7 linked regions of the Coturnix japonica genome follow. The protein of the gene in region 1 binds, or shares a complex with, the protein of each later gene. Links are inferred from orthologs where the notes say so. Each region holds a gene or a part of one and is shown in the gene's direction. Other genes may lie near its edges. The genes, in order: OGT, KANSL3, WDR5, ZNF831, THAP1, KANSL1 and RBL2.

Evidence for each region.
Region 2: OGT (region 1) and KANSL3 share a complex: the UniProt entries of both Homo sapiens proteins name them as parts of the NSL complex. The link is inferred for Coturnix japonica from reciprocal best matches to the Homo sapiens genes OGT and KANSL3.
Region 3: OGT (region 1) and WDR5 share a complex: the UniProt entries of both Homo sapiens proteins name them as parts of the NSL complex. The link is inferred for Coturnix japonica from reciprocal best matches to the Homo sapiens genes OGT and WDR5.
Region 4: the proteins of OGT (region 1) and ZNF831 are in contact, whole or in part, in a crystal structure (PDB 8FUF), measured with the Homo sapiens proteins. The link is inferred for Coturnix japonica from reciprocal best matches to the Homo sapiens genes OGT and ZNF831. Residues at the interface, in NP_858058.1 of Homo sapiens: Phe723, Ile734, Met779, Ile787, Ile790, Asn791, Arg792, Gly793, Leu808, Ala809, Thr831, Arg832, Ser833, Gln834, Tyr835, Gly836, Leu837, Pro838, Glu839, Arg877; in NP_001371283.1 of Homo sapiens: Phe937, Ser938, Pro939, Lys940, Tyr941, Leu942, Leu943, Arg944, Leu945, Pro946.
Region 5: OGT (region 1) and THAP1 share a complex: the UniProt entries of both Homo sapiens proteins name them as parts of the THAP1/THAP3-HCFC1-OGT complex. The link is inferred for Coturnix japonica from reciprocal best matches to the Homo sapiens genes OGT and THAP1.
Region 6: OGT (region 1) and KANSL1 share a complex: the UniProt entries of both Homo sapiens proteins name them as parts of the NSL complex. The link is inferred for Coturnix japonica from reciprocal best matches to the Homo sapiens genes OGT and KANSL1.
Region 7: the proteins of OGT (region 1) and RBL2 are in contact, whole or in part, in a crystal structure (PDB 4XI9), measured with the Homo sapiens proteins. The link is inferred for Coturnix japonica from reciprocal best matches to the Homo sapiens genes OGT and RBL2. Residues at the interface, in NP_858058.1 of Homo sapiens: His506, His508, His509, Asn567, His568, Pro569, Tyr642, Thr643, Lys644, Gln849, Phe878, Val905, Ala906; in NP_001310537.1 of Homo sapiens: Thr417, Pro418, Val419, Ser420, Thr421, Ala422.

Annotation. Positions count from the first base shown.
Region 1 is NC_029519.1:2,160,103-2,164,205, reverse strand, and holds the start of OGT (UDP-N-acetylglucosamine--peptide N-acetylglucosaminyltransferase 110 kDa subunit), read left to right. Parts: upstream 1-1,303; 5' UTR 1,304-1,436; coding exon 1,437-1,473; intron 1,474-3,045; coding exon 3,046-3,226; intron 3,227-4,103. Other genes in the region: TAF1 (transcription initiation factor TFIID subunit 1), read left to right, coding at 362-578. UniProt on the Homo sapiens protein: Catalyzes the transfer of a single N-acetylglucosamine from UDP-GlcNAc to a serine or threonine residue in cytoplasmic and nuclear proteins resulting in their modification with a beta-linked N-acetylglucosamine (O-GlcNAc).
Region 2 is NC_029537.1:1,115,180-1,119,337, forward strand, and holds the start of KANSL3 (KAT8 regulatory NSL complex subunit 3), read left to right. Parts: upstream 1-1,358; 5' UTR 1,359-1,409; coding exon 1,410-1,630; intron 1,631-3,156; coding exon 3,157-3,327; intron 3,328-3,674; coding exon 3,675-3,765; intron 3,766-4,059; coding exon 4,060-4,158. Other genes in the region: FER1L5 (fer-1-like protein 5), read right to left, coding at 1-78, 157-212, 462-546. UniProt on the Homo sapiens protein: Non-catalytic component of the NSL histone acetyltransferase complex, a multiprotein complex that mediates histone H4 acetylation at 'Lys-5'- and 'Lys-8' (H4K5ac and H4K8ac) at transcription start sites and promotes transcription initiation.
Region 3 is NC_029532.1:5,717,758-5,722,013, forward strand, and holds the start of WDR5 (WD repeat-containing protein 5), read left to right. Parts: upstream 1-1,456; 5' UTR 1,457-1,580; intron 1,581-3,248; 5' UTR 3,249-3,362; coding exon 3,363-3,443; intron 3,444-4,066; coding exon 4,067-4,175; intron 4,176-4,256.
Region 4 is NC_029535.1:9,813,754-9,817,951, reverse strand, and holds the start of ZNF831 (zinc finger protein 831), read left to right. Parts: upstream 1-1,398; 5' UTR 1,399-1,775; intron 1,776-2,745; 5' UTR 2,746-2,815; intron 2,816-2,954; exon of another isoform or gene 2,955-4,198.
Region 5 is NC_029547.1:47,539,757-47,543,972, reverse strand, and holds the start of THAP1 (THAP domain-containing protein 1), read left to right. Parts: upstream 1-1,416; 5' UTR 1,417-1,457; coding exon 1,458-1,528; intron 1,529-1,718; coding exon 1,719-1,914; intron 1,915-4,216. Other genes in the region: transcription factor jun-D-like, read right to left, coding at 1-455. UniProt on the Homo sapiens protein: DNA-binding transcription regulator that regulates endothelial cell proliferation and G1/S cell-cycle progression.
Region 6 is NC_029542.1:2,357,173-2,360,672, forward strand, and holds part of KANSL1 (KAT8 regulatory NSL complex subunit 1), read left to right. Parts: intron 1-558; coding exon 559-754; intron 755-2,261; coding exon 2,262-2,427; intron 2,428-3,500. UniProt on the Homo sapiens protein: Non-catalytic component of the NSL histone acetyltransferase complex, a multiprotein complex that mediates histone H4 acetylation at 'Lys-5'- and 'Lys-8' (H4K5ac and H4K8ac) at transcription start sites and promotes transcription initiation.
Region 7 is NC_029526.1:4,008,850-4,012,347, reverse strand, and holds the end of RBL2 (retinoblastoma-like protein 2), read left to right. Parts: intron 1-161; coding exon 162-326; intron 327-700; exon of another isoform or gene 701-803; intron 804-1,078; coding exon 1,079-1,249; 3' UTR 1,250-2,998; downstream 2,999-3,498. UniProt on the Homo sapiens protein: Key regulator of entry into cell division. Directly involved in heterochromatin formation by maintaining overall chromatin structure and, in particular, that of constitutive heterochromatin by stabilizing histone methylation.

The DNA of each region.
Region 1 (4,103 bases):
ATGAAAACCTCCCTGTAAGAGGGGCTGTGCTGGGTGGGGTGAATGGTCTGCCCAGCCCAGTGCCTCAGCAACTGGCTGTGTGGATGGGCTGTGCTCTGATGGTGGTTGTTGCACCGTCTGCCTTTCTATCTGCAGTGAAGGAGGCAGATAGAAGCAATCAGTTGCTTTTCCTGCCCTGAGTACATCCAGGACAGAGCAAAGGTGCTGGCAGTGTGTTGGTTCAGGAGAGCTGGGTTTTTGCTTTACACAGCTGACAGCATGGAAGCGCACAGTGGTTCCGAGTTGTTCCTCAAGGATCTCAAGGACCTTTTACAGGAGCTCACTGTGACAGAATATGAGCATACTTGTTTGTTTTTCCTAGTTACGGCAGCTACGAAGAGCCAGACCCGAAGTCCAACACAAGGGATACGAGCTTCAGCAGCATCGGGGGGTATGAGATCTCCGAGGAGGAGGAAGAAGAAGAAGAGCAGCGTTGTGGACCGAGCGTGTTGAGCCAGGTGCACCTGTCTGAGGACGAGGAGGACAGCGAGGATTTCCACTCCATTGCAGGGGACAGTGACCTGGACTCGGATGAATGACCTCCTGAGCGCTCCTTGTCCCTGCACTGACTGCTGCATGAGCTGCTCTCAGCTCTGTGCTTTCTGATGGCCCACATGGATCCGAGGAGCAGCGCTGGTGCTGCGTTAACACTGTGCTAACGAGGAGCAGCCTGCTCATACAGCGTTGCATATGATGTGAATATTGTTTGAATCAGCTGTAAAACACGAGACTGAGGGCACGGTGCGCAGTGGGGGGGTGGCCTTTATTGTCTCTGGAATCCCACTGAAGACTGTTAGTTCTTCATTTTAACAGATGTCAAATCGTTTCTGTTGGATCCGTCTGGGGAAGAGGAAGGCTGCTCGGAATAAAGCACCGTGCGCTTTGTATGATAGCTCAGAGAGCGGTTCTTTATGGCTGGGAGGTGAGCTTAGCCTTCCAGCCCCCTGCAGCGAGCAGCCGCCCCGTGTGTTAATGCTAAATACTAATTAATTCCAGTCCCCCCTTCATCCCCCCGACCCAGCACGGCCGGGCTGCACGTGCCGGTGGAGGCGACCAGCGGCGCATGCGCAGTGCGGCGGCGTTTGTCGCAATGTGTCGGCGCGGAGCGATCTCTCAGCTGACAGAGCTGCGCTGCGGCTCCGTGTGATACACATGGAGGGGGCGCTCGGCGGAAGGAGACGGCTGTAGTTCCGCTGTATCACTCCGCCGCTCGGCGCCCCGCGGGCTGGCTCCGCCCGGACTATTTGTCGCGGGGATGTAGGTCCGGCCGCAGCCATTCGATCGACGCCGCCTCCGCCAGCGCCATTTCGGGAGCCGCCGCCTCAGCGTGCCGGCAGCGCGGGCAGCTCTGTCGTTCTCCGCCTCCTCAGCCCGGCGCCCCGCCGGCCCCTGTCCCGATGGCGACCTCCGTGGGGAACGTGGCCGACAGCACAGGTACCGCCGGGCTCGGTGCGCTCCGCGGGTGCCGCTCCCGGCGGAACTTTCCAGAAGCGGCCGCGTGGGCCCGGGCCGGGCCGCGTGTTGGAGGCGCTGTATTTGTCCGTCAGCCGCAGCGGGGCAGGGCGGACAACGGGCCCGAAATAAACGGCGCTGCCACGGGGGCGGCCGGGGGGGAAGGGGCGGCGCGGAGCGGAGCGGTGTGGGGATGTGGGTACGGGAACGGGCGCTGTGCTGGGGGCCGGGCCGCTGCGCTGCGGGAGCACCAAGGTCACCGCTAACAGCCCCCAGTCAGCGCTGCTCCACGGCCTGCACTGCGGCCCGGCGCTATGCAGCTCCGTTAGAACAGGGGTAGATAACTGGCAGGAATGCTGGACCGTGAGGATGGGGAGACACTGGTTCATGTTGCCCGACAAGGATGTGAACGCCCTCTGCCATGCAGCACTCAGGGCCGGGTTGGGTGGATGGGGCTGTGAGCAACCCGGGCTAGAGGGGGGGGGGGTGTCCCTGCTATAGCAAAGGGTTGGGACTACGTGATCTTAAAGGCTCCTTCCAACCCAAACCATTGTGTGATTCGTTACAGCAGAGATGTGGAATTCCGTAGGGCCAGATAGGAAGTGCTGGACGAATGGGGCCCAGTGCACGCAGAGCGCTGGGAGCGTTGCCCTTCCCTGCCCTGAGCTTAGGAGGGGAAAATAAGAGGTGCTTGCAGTACTCAGGGCTTTTAACAGCAGGTCCGAGTGGTGTAAAGGCACCGCCTGAAGGGCTGCTCTTTCTCTATTCTAATGCAGAACAGTCCGGTAACGACTGGGTGCTCACATGGGTTGTTTTGTTTGAGCCCGGTGTTTGATGGAAGTAGTTTGTCTCCCCCCCCGTTGCAGCCCAGCCCCGGGAGCTCGCTGCTCTTCCATCAGATAGCATTCAGCCGCTTTGCCAATGGAGGAATTGTTATGCGTGGCAGATAACGCCGGCGGAGTGGAGATTTAAAGGAACGCTGCGCATTACGCCTTTTTCTTTAAGGGCTTTCACAAGATACGGATCTACTGGCACAGCAGAACTTCCTTTAGTTCGAGTCCTTTGAAGTTTGTGTCTGTGGTCCTGCATTTCCCTGTGAGGTTTTTAGTGCTTTTCAGAGCTAGGAAGTGTTACATGCCCGGTCTGGGGATGGGGGGGAGGGGGCAAGGAAATTCATTGTCTGGCTCTGCTGCCTGTATGAGCCCAAGTAACTGCTTTACAGTAGGATTATCTTAACTGCATTCCGTTAACTTGAAAAATACATGAAGTTGTGTAACCGTAATGGCTGTTTTTGTTTCTAAACTGTTAACTGGTGAAATCCCACAGCAGCAGCTTGGGGCCTGAAGATGTGAGAGCACAAACCTCCACCTGCTGCGTTGTTTTGTGTCATCCCAATCGTTTTCATCCTTTAGTTTTATACGCCGTTTCTTTTTTGGTTTGGTTTGGTTTTGGTTGGTGTTTTATTTTCGTTTAGTTTCTGTTTGGTTTCTTTGGTTTGGTTTCCATTCTCTAACTTTTTGTTTTCCCCCCTTGAATGTTTTGGTGATTCTCCAGAACCAACGAAACGTATGCTTTCCTTCCAAGGGTTAGCGGAGTTGGCTCATCGTGAGTATCAGGCAGGAGACTTTGAAGCAGCAGAGAGACACTGCATGCAGCTTTGGAGACAAGAGCCTGATAATACTGGTGTGCTTTTATTGCTATCGTCTATTCACTTCCAGTGTCGCAGATTGGACAGGTAGGATGGAGATGTTGCGTTCAAGCTTCTTTTGGAGTTTGTGCTCCTCATAGTATCGAGCACAGTTAATAGAAGTGCTTATCTGACATTGGCTTTAGAACTGAATGCAGATGCTGACTTGATTCTAGCAGTAATGACTGGCCAGAAATAATGTTCTTGTTTCTTGAGTTCTTTTAGGGTAAGAGGAATACAAGTGGGAGTTGCTAGCTTTGCAGCAAGCATCAGATAGTGCTGTTACTCTCATGCCGTTTTCGTATTGTATGCTTGCATGCCCCTGAGTTATTTGCACATGCAAACAAGGAGCTTTCATGTATTCCACCTGCAGTGTGCGTTTAATACTTTAAGTTCTGAGTTTGATTGTTTACAGTGAGATGGCATTGCTTAATTAAGAGTTGTCACTGCTGCTTCTGCCTGCCTCTCCCTGACCTTGTGTCTGTCAAGCCTCTGGGACTTTAAATGTCTGTGCTGGTGAAGGAAGTAATGACTTGTAACTGGGATTTACTCTGTAGGCTTCTGATTGAAGCTGTAGTAATAATTTAGATGGGGGAAAATGAAACAGAGGAGAGCAAGACAGAACTTTAAACCTATGCTTGTCTGCTGTATTCTGTTTCTGAAAGACTGTAAGTGAAACACTGCATAGAAAAAAGCATGCAAATGTTTGAAGAGGCTTAACAGAGTATTTGTGATGGTTTCTCAATCCACGTAGAGCTCAGGTTTGAGGAGGAGACTTGAATCCTGCTGATTGAGCTGGGTTGTCTTTCTCAGTAGAACCTGCAGTGGGGACAGGGGAGGTGGTTAAACAAGGAGAAGCTACATGTAAGGTAGCTCTGTAAGCCCACGTATGTTGGCTGTATGTTTGCTTTGCTTAAGCATGAAT
Region 2 (4,158 bases), on another chromosome or scaffold:
CTGACCCCAGAGCTGCAGGCGCAGGGCCAGGCTGTCAGTGGGGCGCAGGGGACGCGCAGCCAAAGGCCACACCAGTGTCTGTGGGGTGGGTGACAGAGGTCGGTGGGGTGGCCATGTGCCCCCATGGTGCTGTCGGCCACCTCCGGGTCACCTCACCTCATTCCATGTGGGACTGCGTTCTGCTGGCACCACTCGGGTGCTCCTGGGGACACCTGGAGGGACAGGGGGCAGCACATAGGGTTGGTGAGGGTGGCAATGTCCCCATGTGCCATTCCCATATGCAACCACTAATATCCCATCCCATGACCCATCCCATCCCATGACCCATCCCATGACCCATCCCATAAGGTCACTCAGTGCCACCCCATCCCATGACAATGACATGAAGGTGACTGATGCCACCCTACAGTGCAAGGACAGCCACCTCAGCATCCCCTTGTCCCCCTTGTCCCCATCAGTACCTCTGAATCGAGCATAAACGTGCACACCGGGTCCTGCGCCGGTGGCTGCCGGGAGGTGAGCGCTGCCCACCAGCAGCCGCAGCATGGCCGTGTCCCCGTGTCACCATGGCGTTGTCACCACGGTGCTGCCACGTTCCTGAATGCATTGAGGGGGGGGCACATGCCCACATGTCACCCAGGAGCTGTGTCACCGTGTGGCTGTGTCCAGCTGTCCCCATAATGTGTCCCTATGTCTGTGTGATGTATCACCAACCCCCCGTATCTGTGTGTCCCCATATCCACGTGCCACTCGTCACTGCACCCTATAAGTGTGCCCACATCCCCCTGTCCCTCCTTATGTCCCTGTGCCCCATGGCCATGTGGGCATCTTTATGACCCATCTTTAAGGTCCATTTTCAATCCTATCCATTCCATAAGTCCCCATGTCCACATCACTATGTCCCCACGTGCCCATATCCCACATGCCCATGTCCTCATATCCCTATGTCCCCATGTCCCACACCCTTCTGTCTCACGTCAATACACCCCCACGTCCCCACACCCATTTGTCCCCACGTCCCTGTGGGCATCTTTATGACCCATCTTTAAGGTCTGTTTTCAATCCTATCCATTCCGTGTGTCCCCATGTCCACATCACTATGTCCCCACGTGCCCATATCCCACATCCCCATGTCCCACACCCTTCTGTCTCATGTCAATACACCCCCATGTCCCCATGTCCCCACATCCATTTGTCCCCACGTGTCCCCCATCCACGCATCTCCTCGCCCACACCATAATCCACTTCCACCTCTTGTCTCCTCCCATCCCACTCCGCTCCGCTCTAATCCACTCTCCACATCTTCCCTCCGCCTCTCCTTTCTGCGCATGCGCCTTGCTCCCCCCGCCCCCCCTCTGGCGGCGCATGCGCATTGCGCGCCGCGGGGCGGCCGGGGTCGGGGGGGTGTCATGGCGCATCGCGGCGGGGAACGAGATCGTGAATTGCAATGGTCGGCGAGGAGGATGGGCACCTCGCTGCTGCTGCAGCTGTCGGCTCACGAGCGGGAGCTCGACCTGGTGTGCTTGGATCACAGCTACGCCAAACCTTGGAGCGCCCACCCGGATGCCAGCGCCGCCCGACCGGCCCGAATGCTGTTCCTCACCCCAAGGAGGCAGCCCGGCACCGCACTGTGAGGATATGGGGGGATATGGGGGGATATGGGGGGATATGGGGTGGTTTGTGAGGAGATATGGGGGTCTATGGGGTCTATGGGGGGCTGTAGGGTTCTATGGGGTCGAGAATGGGCCTCTAGAGAGGGTCTGGGGGCTGTAAGGGGTCTGGGGTGGTTTGTGAGGAGGAGGTTTGGGGTCTGGGGGGCTGAGGGGGCTGTGAGGGGCTGTAGGCCTCTGTGAGGGGGTTTCTGAAGGGAAAGTGTTGGTTTGGGTCGAGAATGGACCTCTATAGAGAAGGTTTGGGGGCTGTTAGGGGTCTATGAGGGGCTGTAGGCCTCTGTGGGGTCGAGAATGGGCCTCTATAGAGGGTCTGGGGGCTGAGGGGCCGTTAGGGGTCCGGAGTGGTTTGTGAGGAGGAGGTTTGGGGTCTGGGGGGCTGAGGGCTCTATGAGGGGCTGTAGGCCTCTGGGGTGGTTTCTGAAGGGGTAGTGTCGTGTTGGGGTTGAGAATGGGCCTCTATAGAGAAGGTTTGGGGGCTGAGGGGTCTATGAGGGGCTGTAGGCCTTTGTGAGTTGGTTTCTGAGGGGAAAGTGTTGTCTTGGGGTCGAGAATGGGCCTCTATAGAGGGTCTGGGGGCTGTTGGGGGTCTGGGGTGGTTTGTGAGGAGAAGGTTTGGGGTCTGGGGGGCTGAGGGGGCTGTAGGCCTCTGTGGGGTTGTTTGTGAATGGAAGGTGTCAGGTTGGGGGGCTGAGGGGCTGTTAGAGGTCAGTGGGATGGGGCCTGGGGTGGTTTGTGAGGTGAATGTTAGGATCTGGGGGTCTGAGGGGTCTGTAGGTCTCTGTGAGGTGGGTTCTGGGGTGGTCTCTGAGTGGGGTTTGGGGGATTGTGAGGTGAAAGTTTGTGACTTGGGGGTCTGAGAGACTCTGAAGAGGGTCCTGGGATTCTTAATGAGCGGCATTTTGAGGGGGTTGGGGAGCGGGGTGGATCTGTGTTGGTATGTAGGGGTCTGTAAGGAGGCTTTGGGGCTGTTTTTGAGGTGGAAGTGAGGGGTTTTGGGTGCAGATGCCATATAGAGGTCTATGTGGAGGGTCCTGGGAGGGATCCCAATCAGAGCCAGGCTGGTGTGTGAGAGATGCGGACCAGGGACACACAGGAGCGGGTTGTGGGGTCTGTGGGTGTAAGGTGGAATGATACAAAGATGGTAACAGATATTCAAAAGGTTATTTATAAGGAAAGACTCACCAATATGGATGCCTTTGCTGGGAAATGCTGAGGCAGTCTCCAAGAGATGCTGCCTTAGTGGTGGTCAGCCCTTAAATGAGGTCTAGAGGAGGTGGAGTCAAGCTCCAACCCTTCCAGGAGCTAAATTACTCTCACCTGTGCTCCCACAGCTGACCTGACACTTGTCTCAGCTGATTAATCAGAGGTTCAGGCTGTGATTACCAGTTTTCTGGGGCTGGGGGCTGCAACATGATGGAGGGGCTGAGGTGTGGGAGTACAAAGCGATCATCCCCTCTCTCTGAAGCATGATTTTTCCTTGCAGTGAAGCAGATGTCCCCATTGATGTCGAGACGGTGACAGCCACGCCGGTGCCTCTCTATGACAACCAGAAGGCACGCAGCGTGATGAACGAGTGTGAGAGGCACGTCATGTTTGCTCGCACGGATGCAGATGCCCCTCCACCCCCAGATGACTGGGAGGAACATGTGAACAGGTAACGAATGGCAATGGCTCGGGACACTGTTGTTAGATGGCACACAGATCCCCATCTCAGCCATAATACAATGCTGTCAAGTTAAAAATAAGAGGATGTGAGTCAGATCTACCATTGTAAACCCTCCCTGTAAGCATGGTTAGTCGATCTGAACTCTTGACATGAGGAGGAATGGTGGTTTGGAGGAGTAGGGAGGTAACCTGTGCTAAAGAGAGTGATTGTTTTGGTCTTATTTTTGGGTTCTGTTGCTTCTGCTTGGGGCTGTTTACCTGCTTTGGGAGCATGTGGCAGCTGGAAGGACTGGGATGGGTTTGTGAGCAGCGTTACCCCTTTGGTTTTCTCTCCAGGACGGGCTGGACGATGGCCCAGAACAAACTATTTAACAAGATTCACAAAGCACTGCAGTCTGACAGGCTGGCTCGCTTGGCCAACGAAGGGGTAAGAGCTCTTATTCCCTGCTGCTCTTCTACCTTCCAGCAGAGTTGTTGTGTGTTTTTATTCAGTCCTCCCTAGCAAAGCAAGGAAAGTCCTGGCCTTTGGGTTGTAAGGCCTTAAGAAACAGGGAACTCTGGGCTTGTCTGAGGTGTGATTTTGTCCCTATTGAGGGGATGTTGACCCTTGCTTGCTGCCAGAGTACTTGGAGCTGATACATTCCTGTGGTTTGGGGTGAACAGGGCATGTTTGACTTTTCCCATAATGGTTTTTATTCTCCTTTAATGTCCTGGATCCTAGGCTTGCAATGAACCAGTCCTGAGGAGGATAGCAGTGGACAAATGTGCTCGGAGAGTCCACCAAGCACTGGCTAGTGTGAACTGGGACACCAAACTGATC
Region 3 (4,256 bases), on another chromosome or scaffold:
CAGAATCCGCGGCCTTGGGTCTGTTCCTGGCATTCTTAAAGACATCCAGAGGGCTCACACCAGCACTGAAAGCAGTCACTTCCCAATCATCTGAGACACTTATGGACTTTTCTTTCCTTTTCAGCATTACGGGAAGCTTTTCTCGCCCCCCAGAAGCCTCACAGACAGGTGTCTTTTCCAATGTACTTGGCAGATCACCAAGTTCAGGCTATTTGGAACCAAAAGGAATGAAAGACTTTGTGAGAGAGAAGCCTGCCAAGGCCCAGTCTTTCACAGAGAGGGAATTTGGACAGAGATCACATCCTGCTGATCCCAGCTGTGGCAGCATGGCCTGCGGAGCAAGAAGGACCCTCACAGATGACTCATAACCCACAAGTTCAATTTCATCCAAAGACAACAGGCTGTCCGTGCAGATTCTCTATTTATGACATTTGTTAAAGATAAATCCAGGACACTCAGAGGCTAAGGGGTTGCTTAGGATTACAATTACCATTTGTATTGGAAACTATAGTTTCCAGTTCCAGAAAGGTATCATTCAGTATAGATATAGATTAATATATATGAAATATCAGGCAAAAAAAGCTTCCACAACGAGAGGAGGCACAGTACAGAAATACAGGCTCTTGTCTCCTATGTGAAAGCAACACCTACCCTTATCACAAGAAAGCTGCATGAATGTATAGCATTACCCTGCTGATTTGTGGTATTTAGTCTTCTTTTCTTTCCAGAATGAAGACTATACACCAAGGCAAGAACTGGATTTATTCCCTAACAGCATAGGATGGATGGAGCATCTCTCACAGTTCCATGCCTGTATTTTCCCCCCATGGTAAAGGGCAGGGTTAAAGCTGCAGACTTCAGCTATGGGTTTCCAAGCTGGAGAAGGGCCTTGGCTTCATTACACCATCACTTTTTTCCTTTCTCAGCAGCCACCAGCATTTCTGGAGCCCGCAGATCTTCCTGTGTTACAGGGCCAGCACATAACACGTGTCTCTTGGTTTTCTTCCCTCTCACTGAAAGCAGTTCGGAAAAAAACCCACTGTTTTCCAGAAAAACACTGAAATTTGAGGAGAATCTGCATGCAAGCTAAATGGAAGCTAAATATATCCCTAGGCAGGGCTAGGCCGCACACCTACCCTCGGTATAACAGCATTACGTGGCCTGCTGTGCTGTTTACCTTACGGATTAGCTCAGTCTCCTCACAATATTGTGGGTTAAGCATGAATTTTCAGTGCTTTCGTTCCTTCATTCCTCAGGGCAGCGAGCACACACCTGAGGGATGGAGGCCTTCAGCACAGAGCCATTTCCAAAGGCGGGAAGCAGGCTGAAAAAAGAAGCGCGTGGCCCTTTAAGGCGCACGGCCCCCACTGATGCTTTTTGTCCCTCTGGCCGCACCGTAGCGCTCATGGGAGAGAGCGGCATTGTGCAGCCTTTGGCCTACATCGCGCATGCGCAGTGCCACATTCCCCGCCTGGCGGCTCCGGTGCTGCCGCCGCCGCCGTGTCCCCCCTCCGCCCCTCCCGAGGCAGGAGGAGGAGGCGGCGGTGCCGGGTGTGCACCCAGCCCTTCCCCTTCCCTCGGTAAGTCACTATGGAGCCCGGCTGGATGGGTTCCTTCAGCTCCGGCTTCGTGTGGGGAGCCGCCTCTCCTCCCTCCCCCACCGCCCTCACTCTGAGGCGAGAGGGGGCCGCGTGCGGCCTTGCATTGCTCTGTATGTGCATTGCATTGCTCTGTGTGTGCATTGCATTGCTCTGCAGCTCCGTTGCTTTGCCCTGCAGCTCCATTGCTTTGCCCTGCAGCTCCCTTGCTTTGCCCTGCAGCTCCGTTGCTTTGCCCTGCAGNTTGCCCTGCAGCTCCGTTGCTTTGCCCTGCAGCTCCATTGCTTTGCCCTGCAGCTCCCTTGCTTTGCCCTGCAGCTCCGTTGCTTTGCCCTGCAGCTCCATTGCTTTGCCCTGCAGCTCCATTGCTTTGCCCTGCAGCTCCATTGCTTTGCCCTGCAGCTCCATTGCTTTGCCCTGCAGCTCCATTGCTTTGCTCTGCAGCTCCATTGCTCTGTGCTGCTCCACGCCTCGCTGTAGAGCGTGCAGCCCTGTGGATGTGTGCACGCCCTATGTACGTGCACACACGTGGCTGTGTATCCTTGCAGGCTGTGTATCCTTGCAGGCTGTGTATTCCTGCAGGCTGCTGCTGCTTCTAAAGCCTTCGGGAAGTTTCTTGCTTACAAGCTGAGTTTACACGAGCTTCCCCCCTGGGTGTGGTGAGAAAGGGGTGTTTGCAGCCAGGGCCCTTTGAAGCTTGCCATGTGCTGCTGCTCAGGTTTGTATGAGGAGGTGCAAGGGGTAAGCTGTGTTGCTTGCTCAAGTTCCCATATAAGTTCAGGTTGAAATGCATTAGATCTGGATTATAGAGCTGGAGTTGCTGGTATTAACAGTAAGTAAGGAGTCTGTACTGTGCTTGTAAAGCTTGCAACTGGTGGCACTGAGCTCTGTGCCCTCCTGAGGACAAGATGTGCATCGTGGCTTGAAAAGTCAATGCTGTTCCTCTTGGATTTGCTGCCACAAGCAAAATGGATTGTGCTTGGGATGGGATATTGCAAATAGCAAAGGATTTGTAAATCCTTACAATGTGAGCTGCGGGTTATTCTGTTACACTGCTGAAATGAAGCTGAACTGCAGCGTGATTGTTCCCTCTGCAGCATCAGCCCTGATTGCAGGGTACAGCACAGCACTGCTCAGGTTTTGCTACAGAAAGCAGATCTGGTGAGGTTAATGCAGGGCTGCTGTTAGGCAGGGGGATCTCTCAAGCAGGGATATGGTGCTCACAGCATTTAGGGGGAAGGTATTAGACCAAAGTACTTGAAATAGGAAATGGAAAAATAAAACAAACCTGGTGTGGTTTTAAGCTTTGGAAATGCCTTATATATAAGGTGTTGTATTTGCTGTGTTGTACAGATGTTTCAAGGAATATAAGATAAACCCACTGCCTCTAAGAGCTACTCTGCTTTATTTGTAGTGATTGGTACAAAACACAGCAAAAAACGCTGTGCAGGAGCTGATCAAAGTCTTGTATTTGGGTTCTTGATAGACCACTAATAGACCTGTAGGCATAAAATGGCATGTTGCTGAGCAGGCGTACAATATGTTTCCTCATCATGTTTTCTGCAGACCTGCAGTTAAGCTGATCTTGTTCCTTTAGCTGCCTCTGATCCTTCTTTGATGGTTAATGTGATTGTTTGCTTTTTCTTCCAGGGTTTTGTTTCTAGCAGCGCTGTTCCTCTCCCCGTGGCAAGGGCTGCCTTGTGAAGCAGCACGTTCATTCTCCCCCTTCAAGCACCGTAGGTCTCATTTGCCGGCTTCAGAACCATGGCAACAGAAGAAAAGAAACCAGATGCAGAATCCACCAAAACACAATCGACTCCTTCCTCCTCAACCAATCAGAGCAAGGTGTGTGTGGGGAGCTCTGAACAATGCCTGCGTAAATGCACATGGTGCATACCTGCACGTGCACCAGGCAAACAGCAATTAGAGAACTGAATCAAGTATGCATTAAGAACTTCTTAATACGTCTGCCTCTGCTGTTGTATGGAGAGGGAAGTGTGCTGAAGGTTGTAGGGGAAAAGCAGGCTGAGTACAGCTTAGTGCTAGGTTGATTATTTGGTTGAAATAGAGTTTTAAGGGGCCTGGGGGAGTTGGCTTGTGGTTGCTTCTGAGCAAGGAATAGAACTACAGGCATTTCATAGTACTATACACAGAGTATAAAACCATCACCAGAGGTTTTATTTTAATCTCAAAACACTCTGTGCTCGAACTGTTGTGTTACTGTCATCTGTTAGTTGCAGGCTTGAAGGGAATTCAGATCAGGATGAGTTTGGTGGCACGTGGCTGTAATGTGCTTCTGGCTCCAGTGGGGGCTTGTTGAATTTGGTGGGGGGAGAGAATGTAAATGGTAGAATCTGTTCAGGTGAATGTATGTATTCATGTGTGCTGATCTCGTCTGATACTGAGCTTGTCACTGAGAAACTAAATTGGGAATTTATTCAACTCATTCATATGTATTTTTCTTCCAGCCTGCACCAGTGAAACCAAATTATGCTCTAAAGTTCACGTTAGCGGGACATACGAAGGCGGTATCATCTGTAAAGTTTAGTCCTAATGGAGAGTGGTTAGCCAGCTCCTGTAAGTATTGCTTTCTTACATCAACAGAATGCAAATACGGGCCTTGTAGAACTACTTGTCTTAACTGACTGGATGGAGAAG
Region 4 (4,198 bases), on another chromosome or scaffold:
TTTCTGCCTTTCATTTCCACGTACACATGCAGGAAGGACGTGTCCCTTCACAGATCATATAGGTTAAGGATCTGCTTACCCAAAGTAGTTTTACAAGTGATTGGAGGGCTGGACACGATAGAAATTTGGACAGGCCTGTAACTGCTGTGAGAGCACTGTTACTGTACATTTTGTTTTAATGCTGTTTTTAACATGGGGAAGCCTTGAGGTGCTTTGTAAATTGCTGAAGACTTCAGAGACTTCATTGTTATTAAAATGGATCCTGAAATTATAGTTTAATAACATATCTTTACAAACACAATGATTGAAATAGATAACACATGGACAGCAGTTAAGATGTCTGTTTCCATAACAGCACACAGCACCAGAAAGGCCCACAATGACACGGGATACTGTTTCTATGGTAATACTGTTTCTTTGCCTCAAGGATGCAAGAAAATCCATGATGAAAAGCAGGAACTAGTATTTTAAGTTAATGGGAATTCCCTGTTTATAGTGATCAGCATCTAGCTCCTTTCTGTCACATTTTCCTTACAGCTTGCTTGTAACTACTTTTAGGCTGGAGACCCTCTTTAGCTTGTGTTCTTATTTAAAAAAAAAAAAAAAAAAAAAAAAAGGAAAGGGAAGGGAAGAGGAAAGAAAAGGAAAAGGAAGAGGAAAAGGAAAAAGGAAAAGGAAAAAGGAAAAGGAAAAAGGAAAAGGAAAAAGGAAAGGAAAGTCAAATATACAAAGGTTCAGGAATATGTGAAATGCTGGGGTTCATGCCTAGAAAATTCAGCATAGAACTTATATCAGAAGGCTCCTATCAGAAATCAGAGCAAAGAAAAGACTATTTTCAGTAATTTCAGCTCGTATTTTGTGCCAAACAGGTTTTGGGAAATTCAGCCAATTCCAGATAGATGGTCATTAGGTACAGACATGGTGAGGGAAACTTTAATTAAACAATAATGGTCGCATTTCAACATAGTTATTGAGGGAATATTAAGCAACTAGTAACAAGAGAAGAAATAAGCAAAATCTCTGCAGTTTTGCATATACCTTATTAGTACATGTAGAAAACTATATTTGAATACAACAAGAGATTGAGAATTCAATGACTTAAACCAGTGTACCATGTGTAGAGCCTGAGGTTGGATGCTGAGGATTTCTCTCAGCACATACCCAGTATTTCAGGACAAGGGGACACTCAACATCAGTAGCTGAAAAACCACTGATCCAGTTTTGGTACCTGCTGTTGAAAATTGGAGCCATTAATGGTGCCAACAAATTAAAAAAATTAAGGTAATCCAATTACTGCTATTTTAAAACACTAAGGATCCTTTGTAGCTATGGAAACAAAAACGCAGACATTAATGAGCAAGGGGGGAAAAAACTGGTGTTTCCTTGACAACAGAAGGAAAGCATAGCTCCATGAAACCCAAAGGAGATAATGACAGGAATACTTTTAACCATGATACACATACGAAATTCACGTCCGTTCCAATAACATACACCACTTGGAAAGGTGAAAGCGCTCTGCCAGGAAGACACAACCATGAAAGAACTACTTGGACAGTGGTCACGTCACGTCAGCAGTAAGCGCCAAACCTGAGACAGATCAAGTGCCGTGCAGTGTGGATGTGACTGCTGCACTCTAGAGAGAACTAGCCCTGGGCTGAGCAGACACTGACTCTCATCAGAGAGCTGAAGAATAGTTGTTCTTTGGAGTGCGTCGTAAATTCTGAGCACATATAGTACCTCCTATCCCAGCAAGAAGGCATGTAAAAATGATAAAGGTAAGTTTATGGCACGGGAAAGGACACAAGTAGTGTTCAACCTTATTATCACCACTGAAACATTAGCTGGCAGCCTCTCACACAATTCAAAGTATTTTTGTTAGAGGAATTCAGAATTGCTCAAAGACAACAAAATGCGAGAGGAATTGTGACAGAGGTAAATAAGAGGTCAAGTTAATTGGCAAACCCTGATATCTTGGTAGGAACAAATCTTTAAATCTTTCTCTGAACCTGTTGAACTTATAGAAGAATCTCTTCATACTGGAAAGTACATCAATCAGTCCAAAATCCTACATCGTGCTGTGTTTATAGCAATAAAGAGTTGGATACTGAGCTACAAGAATGTAGGGCTTCCTTGACAACGTGTTGAGAAAAAACACAACTACATAAAAGCTTATGGAGAAAATAAGAAAAAAATATAGTTGAGTTGGCAGAATGGTGTGGAACATGGATTTAGCCATGTGAGTGGTACTGGCATGGAATCAGTGATGTGCTTCTACAGTTCCAGTTACTGATGTTTTCCTTTATTGTTTATGACATTGATCCGAAAGTTGATTTACGTGATGAACGACCCTGTCAAATTCCAGTCTTGTTTTGTGCAAAGTACGTTTAAGTTAATGTAGCTGTTGGTTTTTAGAACATTTCTGAATATCATCAGCAGTTCTGAAGTTATCTGTTTTCTATGACAAACAAGAAACAGATGGAGGAATTGGTATGAGTAGTCTGTGCATATGTAAAAAAAAACTAACCTTCCTGACTTTCTGAGTCGAAGCAACTGTTCCTCTGAAAGCTACATGGCTTTTAAATGCATCATAATTGTAATTACTCATTTTTATGATATGCCTGAAAACACTATAGCTCATTACTGCAGCAATCTAAAAAACCTGGAAAGATTCTTCATACTCCTCCTGCAAAACATTTATTTCATAGAAGATGCAGCATTAACGTCCTCCACTTTTTATCCTTTCAGCTATCAGGAAAAGAATGACTTGAGCATGGAGGAGTAAATGAAGCTCCCTTCATTCCCACCTTATCTCCAGGTACGTTAGGACCAATTCTCAACTTGCTGGCCTGTTGTTTCTCTCAGTATTAAGTTTTGTTTGTGGGGGGGGGGGGGGGATGTTTGTGAAATATCCTTATGAATTAATGCATAAATCAGTCATTTGCCAGAACTGCTCATGCTGAATTAATACTAAAAAGTATAAATGAAGTGGAGCCCCAAGTCAACTCTGTACGATGATTCAGCACTTACAACCTTACCTAAAGCACATTAAATATAATGCTATAGAAAAAGAAAATGTCTGTAACTTTTAATGGGAGACAGCTTGAGGCTACGACTATCCTGTATACATATGCACCTTTCCTCAGGTGAGTGCCTACATGCACAGCCCTGCTGCTGAGGTATGAAAAGCACACGAGCACTTTAAAGCAGAAATTCAGTCCTTAGTGAAACACTTTGGTTGCATGCATAACCAGCTACACTTTGGTCATGATTGCCTCAGTGTTTTCTCAGCAGCCCTTGACTCTCTTCCCTATGGGATCTATTACTTATGCCTTGTGTTTTAGTTCTTTTCCCTGTACTGGCATTTCTTTGGCAAGCAGAACCACGTTTGCTCCTAATGAAAGTGTTTCTCCCTTTTGCTGTTCAAGCACATTTTTGTCTTCAAGTTCTTTTCTCCTGGACTTCTTTCTTTTTTTTTGGCCTGACATACGTGAGGATCACACTCGTGTTCAGGGTGGCAGTTCTTGCTGTCTAGCAAAAACATACAAAAGTGCCACATTAACATCAGTAGCCATTATTCATTACTGCTATTAGGGTAATATTTAGCCCTCCTATTTACTGGAATGCCCTCATTAATCCTGCTTTCCATTTTTTTTGTTATGATCAAATACTTCCAAATTTTTAATACTTGCTTTAAGAGACTGTCAATTTATAGAGCTGTGTTCTGTGGGGAAATACATCACGTGAAGCACCATATTCTAAGTGTTCCTTTGGTCAAATGGGAGCTCTGTAGGCAATCAAGTTCTGTACATTTAAACTTCAGAGTTCACACGTGTAAATGTGGCTATTTGTGATAACTGATAGAATTATTACACAATAATTGTTCATGTGGATTAGTCCTCAGAGGGGGACGAGGTGCATTCAGACATTTCAGATGCCACTTTATCTGCAGCTCAGTGGCTGATGATACCATGGCAGAAACGACGATTGCTACAGAAGTGCTACAGCTGACAAAGTCACTGCACAGTGCCCATGAGATACAACGTGAGCAATGGGACCCTGTCAAAGATACTGCTTCAAGCATTGCATTTTGTTGCTACTCTTTCAAACTGTCATGAAAGTTGCAATTTAAAGGACTTATGCATAATACACAATGTGTATCTGACCAAAACTGTTATCACAGAGCACACAGTGCACATAA
Region 5 (4,216 bases), on another chromosome or scaffold:
CCGCCCTGGATGAGCAGCTGCTCCAGGTCGGCGGCCGGCGGCAGCTTCAGCAACGGCAGCTCCGCCGCCGAGCCCAGCGCGGCCTCCGGTCCGCCGCGGTTCGCCGCCGCCCCGGCGCCGGCCCCCGCCGAGCCCTGCGCCGAGCCCGGGGGCGGCGGGGGAGCGGCGGAGGGCGGCAGCAGGCGCAGGGCGGCCGCGCTGCCGCGGGCGCTGCCGGGCGGGCGCAGGGCGAAGGGCCCGGGCAGCGGCGAGGGGGCGGCGGGCGGCAGGTCGCGCTTCTTCCCGGCTCCCAGCAGTAGCTTCGGGCCCGCCGCCGCCTCGGCGCCGGGTCCTGCGGTGGCGGTGGCGGCGAAACCCGGCAGCGGCACGAAGTCGGGCAGCAGCTCCAGCCCTTCCTCGGGGTAGAACGGCGCCTCCATCTTCACGGCGGCTCTCCCGCTCCGCCCGCCGCTCATGCTGCCGGCCGGCCGGGGCGCGGCGCGGCGCGGCGCTCCCCGGTGCCCGCCCTGCGGCGGCGGCGGCTGTGTGTCGCGGCGCGGCTGCGTTCGGCGGGGGCCCGCAACCCTCGGCTCTCAGCGGGGACTGAGCCGCCTCCCGGCGCCACCGGCCCCACGCCCCGCCCCGGTCCCGCCGTCTGCCCGCCCCAACGCCGCCGCCTCCCCCGAGCTCCCCGCCGCCGGCCCCCGGCTCAGAGGGGCTGCGCGGGGCTCCGCGAGGGGCCGCGCTCCGAATTCGGCGCTCGCTTATAGACCGGCTTATTGCCCTTCTCTCCATCCTGTGTCTCTGAGGGGTTCCGGACCCCATCCTGGAGCTGCTTCGCGCGGCTCCTGCCCTTTGCTCCCGCTGTGGGTGCGCCATAGGGCGCTGCCCGCACCCCTGCTCCCGACACCAGCGCCCGCTGCCCGCCCCGCACGGGACAGCGAGATCGGGACATGGGGCGCTCCGGGGGAACGGCCCGCTGCTGTTAGTCGCTGGTGTAATACAGGGAATGGTACGGCGGAGCGCACTCCGCGTTAACTTTTTGTACTCCATCGCGTCGGTGTATTGTTAGCTCACCCTAACACCTCAGCAGGGCCCAGCAGCCCACACACACCCGCACCCCATCCCGCCCTGGGGGCGCTCTGCCGCCGCGCCGCAGCTGCCCCTGAGGTAGTTCCGGAGCGAGGGGCGGGAGCAAGGCAGAGCGCCGCTCCGATTGGACGATCTGCTTCCCGAGGCCCCGCCCCCCATGAGAGGACCCACCAATGGGCAAGGGCGGCGCGCCGTAGCACCGCGAGAGTTGCTCTGAAGCTGGTGCCGCCATCTTGGAGTTGGGAGAGGCCGCGTCCCGTTGCCGTCCCTCTCGGAGGGTCACCGGCGGGGGGGGACGGGGCACGATGGCGGCCCCACGGTGAGCGGACGGCACCTGGGAGCCCCTCCTCGCGCCGCTGGGCGGCGGCGGCCGCGGGGCCGGCGGGATGGTGCAGTCGTGTTCTGCCTACCGCTGCCGGAACCGATACGACAAAGAGAAGCCCATCTCCTTCCACAAGTGAGCGCGGGCGGCGGGACGGGGTGGGGCGGGGCGGGGCGGGGCGGGCAGGGCGCCAGGGCGGGGACAGGGCCGCGGGTGTGCGACCTCCCGACGCAAGGGGGCGCTGGGCGGCGGGAGAGGGGCTGGGATGGTGGGCCCGGCGTGAATAAAGAGTTTGAGAAACGCTGAAAATAGCTGTTGTTGTCAGGTTTCCTTTGACCAGGCCTGACCTGTGCAAGAAATGGGAGGCGGCGGTGAAAAGGAAAAACTTCAAACCCACCAAGTACAGCAGCATCTGCTCCGAGCACTTCACGCCCGACTGCTTCAAGCGGGAGTGCAACAACAAGCTGCTGAAAGAAAATGCTGTGCCCACTATATTCTGTTACACTGAGCCCAGTGAAAAGGTAAGCGCACACTGCTCACAGCCCCAGGTGCCGAAATGCACTGTGCAGCTTCTCCTGTCATTAAGGCCATTTGTCATCACTGCAGTTGTGTTACTGGTGCTGTCCTGTTGTAACAACTGCAGGCTGACATTTGTATCTGGGTGTTAACTGCACTGGGTAGGGCTTTGATTGTTCACAATCAGACCATCCCAAAAATATGACAGATAATACAAGGCCCTGGGACTTTTCAGGACTGATGGCCCATTCTTTCTCCTGTAAATCAGAAGACAGTGCTTGCTGTGTTCTTTATTGCAGATAGAGTTGCAGAGGCTAGTATTAAATCATCAGCATAATGTTATAGCTTCACATCAGGTGTCTTGTTCTAGTTAGCCAGGTCCAGAGCTATTAAGTCATGGCTACAGGTAGGACTATCCAGATGCCCCTGTGAAAGAACCCAAAAAGTCCAGCCTCCTACAAAATAGCATTAACTGCAAAATTGTGTTATAATTCAGAGCACCATCTGCTAGCCACTTTTCTTGATCTTCCAGAGTATGTGTTGGCCACCACTGACAATATATAAAACTAGTGCCTGTCTGTTGAATATTGAACATATTTAGGCAGTTTACTTGTGTTCCAGAGCTAACATAAACCCTTTCTCATGCTCAGGGCATCATCTGTATTTTTCCACACAGTATACAATGTTCGATTTAATGCAGAAATAAAGAAGGAACATCTAGAAAATGAAAAGTGGAAATAATAGGCAAGAGACCATACATAGCACAAGGTATAAAGTGAAATGTGGACCATTTTCAGGTCTGCTTTTTGTGCTAAGATCTGTTTGATGACGGTTCCCCACAATCTTAGCAACATATTTCCTATGTCACTTAAAATTGTTTGCAAAACTTATTGCAGTGTGAAAGCTGAAGGTATTTAATATTGACATCAATGCAGTAGTTCTGAGCCACATTCTCTCATTCATTGCAGTACCTGGCTTTATGAGTGCACAGAACAGTGGCTCCTTATGGAAAAGGAGTTGGTGGTGCTACTATTTATGTCACAGCAGCTTTCAGTGTATCTTCAAGACATTGAATAGTAGTGAATAAGGACAGCATTTTTTTTAAATTCATACTGATTTTGAGATACAGCATTTTTTGCATCATAATTCTTGAAATACTTTTTTAGCTATGTCTGACAACCATTTACTGGATGTAAGAAGGAATAAGAACTCACTTGTGACGTGTGAGCAGTATGAACGATGAGCTCTCTGTGACACACAGTGACAGCAGTAACACAGCATGTGCTGCGTAGCTCTTGAATACATGCCTCTGTCTGAATGCAGCTGTCTGGCAACAATGCCATTTTTGCTCGTGCTTCTAACATGGGCAGAATTCTCTCTGCACATTATGTCTTTGGTTTGTCATCTTAGCTGAAAAGTTTGAAAGCTGTAGGTCAGACATTTTAGAATATTGGTATGTGATTTAGATGGACACACCTGGAGCATCCACTTCTTATAACTGAGAACTGACACAGGCAGTGGGCTGGTTTTGTACTTTAAAGTGATCAGTAATACCTGAGCAATGTGAAACTTCCCCTCAGTACCAGAAGTGGAACTGTGTTCTCAGTTCCTGTGCCTAATGTAGTTTGTACAAGGATGACATCTGTACTTCCCAATCTGACTGTTGACTTGTTCTTTATGTTAAGGCAAGAAGCTTAATAATGTGATCTTCCAGTCTCAAGAGGGGACAGTTGGTGGCTGTTAAAATTGAAGATGCGATCATCTTCATGCTTTTATTTGTAGTAATAATGTTGGGGACAGGGAATTAAAAAATCGGTTTCAGTGTCTCTTTCACTGAGACATTCTTAGGCTTTTGGGTTTTTTTTGGTTTTTTTTTTGTTTTTTTTTTTTTAAACGGGTAGTATACATTATGTGTGCATTTCTGAATAAAGTATGTTCCTCTGGGGCAGAATAATCAGAATTCTCTTTGACCTCCTCCCAAGTGATGACAGGTATGCATTGTTCTGAACCGTGCAAGTGTCTGAACCTATCTGGAGCAGTATGGTGAAGCCTGCAGTATGATGTGGGAATGAGCTCGCTTAGTGTTCTGCTCTATCCCATCTGCCAGCCACCCAGTCCTATTTTCTTACTCCTTCCATATGACAGCTCTCACTGCATGGCTTTGACTTTAATGCAGGACAGAACTTTATTGCAGCGATGGTGGAAGTGTGAATAGCTTTCTGTCATCTTAGCAACATCCTGTATTTAGGGAAGGATTCATAACAGAGCTGGGAGAGCTGTTTATTTTGGCTCATCACATCACCAAAC
Region 6 (3,500 bases), on another chromosome or scaffold:
CTCAAAAGGGCAGGAATGCAAACTAGCAAAAGCAGTTCTCCAGTGCTGGAGGATGGTGTCAGGGTTTGAACCTTGTGCTGCTTGTGGAGGTTCTGGCAGTGGCTGCAGAAACACCTTGGGCAGGATGCTGCAATGTGAGCACATAGAAATACCCATGGACCTGCTCATGGCTACAGCTGGAGCACTGCAGGCCGTGGTACAGCCCTCTGTGTGCCTGCAGCCTGTCAGCTATGGGGCATCAGGCCACAGGGCTCGAACGTTTTGCATTTTTAGATGTGAAACACTCATAAAATAGGCATGGAAAGGCTGTGTGGGTGCGGAGCTCTGCTGGTGTTTAGTAGGTGGCATCATGCATCAGTGCCACAGCAGGGCAAGGATGCTGCATGTGGGCAGGAACCTCTTTGGTGTGTGGAACAGGAAGGTGAACATTGCACTTGTTGCTGAGGGCTATTGGAGGGATGGTTCCCAAGTGTTGATCAGAAGTTTATGTCTCTTTAAGTGTGACCGTGTCTGTGAGTGATAGAGGAATAACGCTCTGCTCCTTGTTGTTCTCTCCAGTCTTCAGCCTGGCCTGGCAGAACACGCTCAGGGAGATGGCCAGGAAGCTGAGGAGCTCTTGCATAAAAAGCAGCGGCTGAATGTGGTCTCTTCAGCTTCAGATGGGACGTGTGTGGCCGCCCGCACGCGCCCGGTGCTGAGCTGCAAGAAGCGACGGCTGGTTCGACCCAGCAGCATTATGCCCCTGTCCAAAAAGGTGAGTGCTGCTCCTTTGTGCTTTACTCTCTTTTTCTGCTCTACGTAGCACCAGCTGTGCACCAAAGGAGCTCCCACACCCCATGGGTTGGTCTGCTCTGCTTTGCACAAAGACATCTCCGCTCTTTGGGAGTGTTTGTGGTTACAGAGAGGGGAGGAAGAGCAGCCCAGGGGCTGTGGGAGAAGTAAAGGAGAAATGAAGAAGCTTTTGGTTTGCTGCAGGTTTCTGTTAGCTGTCATCAGTACTGGATTCTGACAGAGGGGAGGGTTCTTTTCATAACCCACCCATCCTAAGGTAAGCTTCAGGACAGGGGGTTCAGCCTGCTAAAATGGGAGCAGCTGAGTGAAGCAGGTATGGGAAACACAGATACTGAATACAGGAATTAACACAGACCCATTATTAATACATTATTTTCTGCTCCTCCCCACCGTCCCTTTCCCACATGCAGAATTCAGCTCTGTTTATTCCCTGAGCATCCTATGTGAGGACAAACCATGCTCCATCCTTCTTAACTTCCTTCAGGAGTGCCACGAGCTGTCAGTTGGAGAACAGATGCTTCGAAATAGAATAAGGACGGGGTTTTGTTTTTTTCTTAGGATTGCAGAACTATGGATGGCACAAATCCACTTAGTTGTGTTTGAGTCACAAGTGTTTCAAGTCAAACTTAATTACCACAAAGTTTCAGGGTTTCTCGCTCTGTGGGGGATAGGGTTTAAAGGAGCTCAGAAAGAAACATTCTGCTGAGCAAAACAGATTCTGGGCCAGCTGAGTTGGCTGAAAAGTGGGAATAATCAGTTCGCTGGGGGTATTTCTGTGCTTTTACCCTCATTGAGCAGGATTTGGTTCATTTTCCATCACTTCTCTCATTCCAGCTCTCTCCTCCAAGCTGCTTGCAGCCCTTCCCAGTTGTACTGTTATTTGCTAAGGCTTAAGGATATTATCTCTTCCATCATTCGAGTCATTAGTGGAAATTATCTGAATAATACCAGACTCAACAGACTTCACAGGATCTGATTCGATGGATCCTTCCATTTCAGTGGGGGGTTCATCGGTTGCTGGCTCTGCCTGTTTTACATCCAGTTGTGCATCTGCACCACGATGGTTTTTTATACAGAGGAGGTTTATATAAAGTCTGTGAACTGAAAGTCCCTCCTGGTTTAGAGACCAAGACTGAAAACCTTCTCACTCGCTGTAGGTGTCAGCTCTTGGCTGGTGGTTCCCTGTCTTGTCTGAACTAGAAGGTGTTTTTCCTCCCTGACAACAGAATTGTGCTGTCTCATGGTTTTGTAAATGAGGTTTTCAACCCAGATAAACACTTTTAATCAAGTCTAGGGGATGCTGTGTGCAGGCAAGCAGTCGTTCTCGGCTGTGTTGATGTAAGGTCCAGACTGAATCAACAGGTTTGCTGCAGGGTGTTATAAGATCAGGGTTTATTTGATGATCTATCAAAGGGCAGCATGCAAAGAGAGCCCTGTGGGATGCTGAACTTCTCTGTGGCCTTCTCCAGGTCCACCGGAACAGCCTGGCACGGTGCAGCTGTGATGTGAACCCCTCGTGTGCTCTGTGTGGTGCCCGCAGCTCCGCGGCGCTGGAGATGCAGTACGATGCGCCGCTGCTGGAGCGCCTCTCGCAGCTGGACTCCTGCATCCATCCCGTTCTGTCCTTCCCTGATGGTGAGCACAGCAAAGCAGGGCTGTGGGGAGGGGGTTGGGGGGTCGGGCTGGGTGCTGACATGGGACACCAGGGAGTGTCTGGGGCTTGAGGAGCTGTGCAGCCTTCACCCTGAGGAGGTGCTGGTGTGATGGATGCAATTAAAACCATGCTCTTCATCTGCACGTGCTTTTAGGAGCTGAGCATTTGCTGCAGCAGAAGAGAGAGTGTTGGCTGGGGCCTGAGAGTCTGTGCTGGGTCCTGTGCTGGTGTCATAAATAGCATAATCTGAGTTGGACGGGACCATAAGGATCCTTGCATCCAACTCCATCACCATCCAAACATCAGAGCATGGTGACTGGTGGTCACAGACCTCAGCAGAGCTTATTTACCTGCATGAAACCACTTGTGGATTGGTGGAAGCTGCAGGATGTTTCTTTGACCTTGTATGGAGTTGTCCACGATCTCGAGTGGGTCAGAGGGTACAGGAGGAAGGGACGTTCCCATTAGGCTGCTGCTGCTCTGACTAAAACCTATTGGCTGCATGTACTGCTCTCCACCCATCATCGTTTCCCTCTGACCACAGCGAGGTGCAGATGATCTGAGTGGGCACTCTTGCAGGAGAGCTGAGCTGTCAGCAGGCCAGGGCAGAGGTCTCCCAGTGGAAGGGGATGGCTCCTGGGGGGAAGGTGATGTTCTGCTGCTCGTGCTTGGGTCGGGTCAAAGCCTTGTGCTCACAGATGTAAATCCAGCTCTGCACAGACTTGGTGCAGCAGCGTGGAGTGCACGGCGGAGCTTTAACATCTTCTGAAGTTCTCTGTCCCTTCTCTCTTCTCCTTTTTCTGCTCGGTGTGATTTGTAGCTGGGAGTTTGGGGATGATGTAATAACCTTGGTGGAAGGATGTGAGCCGTGCTGAGCTCGGCGCGGTTGCCATCTGCCGGTCCTTGGATGCTCTGCACCGTGGCTGTGACCATCACAAGGGCAGCACAGTTTGTTTGCCTTTTGTCTTTGTGTTTCTGCCTCCTTTCAGCCTGGCCCATCCTTCCCCAGATGTGTCAGCTGCTGACGGTGGAATGTATTTCCAGGAAGAGGCAG
Region 7 (3,498 bases), on another chromosome or scaffold:
TGTATGACAAATCCTGCCGTGTTCTAAGGAAAGCTATGGCTGTAGTGGAGGAAAAAAAAGATCTACACTATGTTTAAGATGACCAGCTTACATCAACTGTACTACAGGTGGCTCACTGAGATTACGTTGCAGCTGAGTGTTTTCTTTTTCCTCCTGAGCAGACAGATTCTCCTCCGCTCTCTCCCTACCCCTTTGTGAGAATCAGCTCTCCTCGCCGAGTCCAGCTGTCTCAGAACCACCCGGTGTACATCTCGCCACACAAAAATGTGCCTGCTCCCTCTCATCGAGAGAAAATATTCTATTATTTCAGCAGCAGCCCATCCAAGGTAAGAACTAAAGGCGTTTAGTTTGGTTTTATAAATCCTTAGTTCTGCCCTTTCTGTTGGGATGTGTTAGACTAGAAAAGACTGCTCAACACTCCTTTTAGTGTACACTGTTAAAGTTGTACTCTGTCACCAGACTGTCTCCAGCTTGTCAGTCTACAGATCTAAGAAGCTGGAGAGCAGTGAGGTATCCAAGGTACTTGTGTACTTTTAAAAGCTATTCTTGATAATGGTACATATGAAAGAGCCAGAAGGTACATCAGTGACACTACATAATGGGATGTGTGGCATGAAGGCCCTAAGAGTCAAACATGAAGTAGTCATTCCCTCTTATCTACGTAGTGAGGCAAAAGGTCTCTTAGCACAAAAAGACTCACCAAGCGAACATGGAACAGACTGAATCCCATGACCTCCAGTCATCCACCATTAAGTAGAAGCCTTCTCCACGCAATGTCTTCACTCAGGATAGGAATTCTGTACCTGTGGTGTAGGATAACATGTCATAACTACAGCAGGAAGGCCTTCCAGCTCCATGTGCACCAGCAGAGCATCAAAAATCTTACACAGAAGCCTTGATAAAGACTCCAGTAGTGGGACCAGTACAATGGTCAAAAGGGTTAGTTTGTTACAGAAAGCACTGTACAGTGCACAGCTCCAAAAATAAGGCATTTGTAAGCCTGCAGTAACGGGACAAGCAAAAACATCACTTTTTTGGTTGCTACAATAATGAGATTGTTTTTTCCACCTCTCCCCAGAGGCTAAAGGAAATTAACAGCATGATTAGAACAGGAGAAACTCCAACAAAGAAGAGAGGCATTCTCTTAGAAGATGACAGTGAAGCGCCAGCGAAGCGGATCTGTCAGGAAAACCACACTGCTCTGTTACGCCGCCTGCAAGATGTAGCCAACGACCGAGGGTCCCACTGAGGGCTGGGGCTCAGCACAGGTAGGACCTCTGTGCTGCTGTGCCAGGCTGCCAGCTCAGAGCATCCCACGGACTCAGCAGGACCGCACAGGCATCAGGCTCCTCCTGCCAGGCCATGCTGACCAGTCCCTGCTGGGCTGTACAGAGTCTCTGCCTGCCAGAGCTTCCCCAGTGCCAGGGGATGGGGAGGATGCGTTCTGAACCCTGCAGTTCCACTCTGTCTGTTGTAAAGCTGATCAGAAGGCAAGTGATCTACCTGCTGGCTTTGGCTTCAGAAGGCAGTTCAAAGCTTTGTATTGCTTGGAGAATGTATCCCTCATACAGCTTTCTGCCTTGTAACAGGTATTTAAATCCATCTGCTCAACCAGTGTACTTACAGTGTTTTCATCAATGCTTGACCATTTTCAGCTTTGGAATAGGAAGTTGTATATGTATCAAACATGGGAGCGTTGTACCAAGGCACTCATAGTCAAATGTGTCCTCTGGGGGAAAAAAAAAAAGGAAAAAATAAAACATTAAGTACTGCCATAAAAAGAATGATTTATAAGCAATAGTCTGGCAACATCCAGCCTTTTCTGCTTGGAAAGGGAAGATAGGAATAAGCTTTTTGAGCGCTGAAGGAAGCTGTCTGAATGGATTCTTTTTGTATTCAGGATGCTTTGTGTGCCCCCAAATCCATCACGTTGTTTTGCTTTAACATTTGGGCACCTTGTTGTATAGAAGTAGCTAACTCCATTCACGCATCATTTTTAGCTGTGCAATGTTCTAAGGTGAACTCGTGTTCAAAAGGTGGCACTTTGGATAGGGCTGTGAAGCATCGTTTTTAAGGCAGATTAGTGTTGCTGTATATTTGCAATGGCACTTTCTAAATGTGAATATCTTTTTAAAGGCTGACTTCAGCCTTTTTTCTTCACGGAAACAATCCAATTCTTGTATTTATTTTCAACGTGACATCCCATAGCTCCCCTTCTTCAGCAAATGGCATTAAGAATTCATTTTAACGTTATGTGCATGCAGTAACAAATGCAGGAGGCCAGGGACGTGGGCTTTGGTCAAGGAATTTTATACACCTCTGTTGTTTCTTCAGCTGGTTCTGCTTGAGAGTCAGAACCAGGAACCTCCCTTCCTCAGTAGAAGGAAGGTGGCCTCAGTCTCCTCAAGGTGCACACTGTGCTTCTGAGTGGTTATAAAGGACAAAGGAAGAGGTTCTGGGTTTTTTTTTTTAATGGACAGAATCAGGCTGCCTGGGAGAAATCTCTCCCCTGCTAATGGTATAAGAAAGCAGTGCGTATATTAATTAGACATACTAATTGTTTAAATTTTAATCAATTCTACAATACCAGCCCTGTTGGTATGCTTAGACCTTTCCTAATAACTACTGCCCTGTGCCAGTTGACTCATCTTTAATGACAACTGGGGACAATGCTGTTGTACTTGTAAAATTTAGCACACACGGATGCCAGAAGGTTTTGTAAGGAAGCAGAACTTAAAAGCTCCACGTTCTCATTCATTCCTGCTCCTTTGAATAATGGAAAGATTTGAGACTTAATTCCACAGTAAAATCAATTAAGGTAAAATAAAAGCATCTTCAGTTCTTACCTGTGTAAGAAGGGCTGAAGTGGAGCAGCGGTGTAGATGTTTCTGTAAAAATATTTATGAACTTGTCAGACAATTCTGTTATTCTGTACCATTTCCATTAATTTGTATGAAACACTGCAAGTGTATTTTTCAATAAAGAACTCATAATAAGGCTTGTGTGGAAAAAAAGCTTCATAAGAGCAAAAGCTACACCCAGTGTGCATCTGTCAAAGGCTCGGGCTGATCTGATGGCACAAACACCAAAATAGCACATAGCTGGGTTCTGCGAGGCTCATGATGTACTTAATCACAAGAACCTCAGCCAGACATTGACATTCAGGGTGTCAGGTAACGGGGCAGCGCTTCATTAACTACTCACTCTAAAAAAAATTACTATTCTTGCCTCTGTTAAGTCATAGTCTTAAATAGTGAAGCTTCTCTTCCTATTTCTGAAATATTCTTTACAGAAATCAGAATTACAAGAATTACTTTTACAAGTGTTTTTAAAATGCTGCTTAAGTCAGGTACTGATTGAAGCTCAAACATTTGCAGTCCATTTTTCATTAACTGACTCCCAGCAGTAGCAGGACAGGTAACAGCCAACTGCTGGAGGAAAGGGTTTGTTTCTTCAGTGCAGTCTGGGTGCTGTCTGCCTACCTTGCTCCTGGAACTG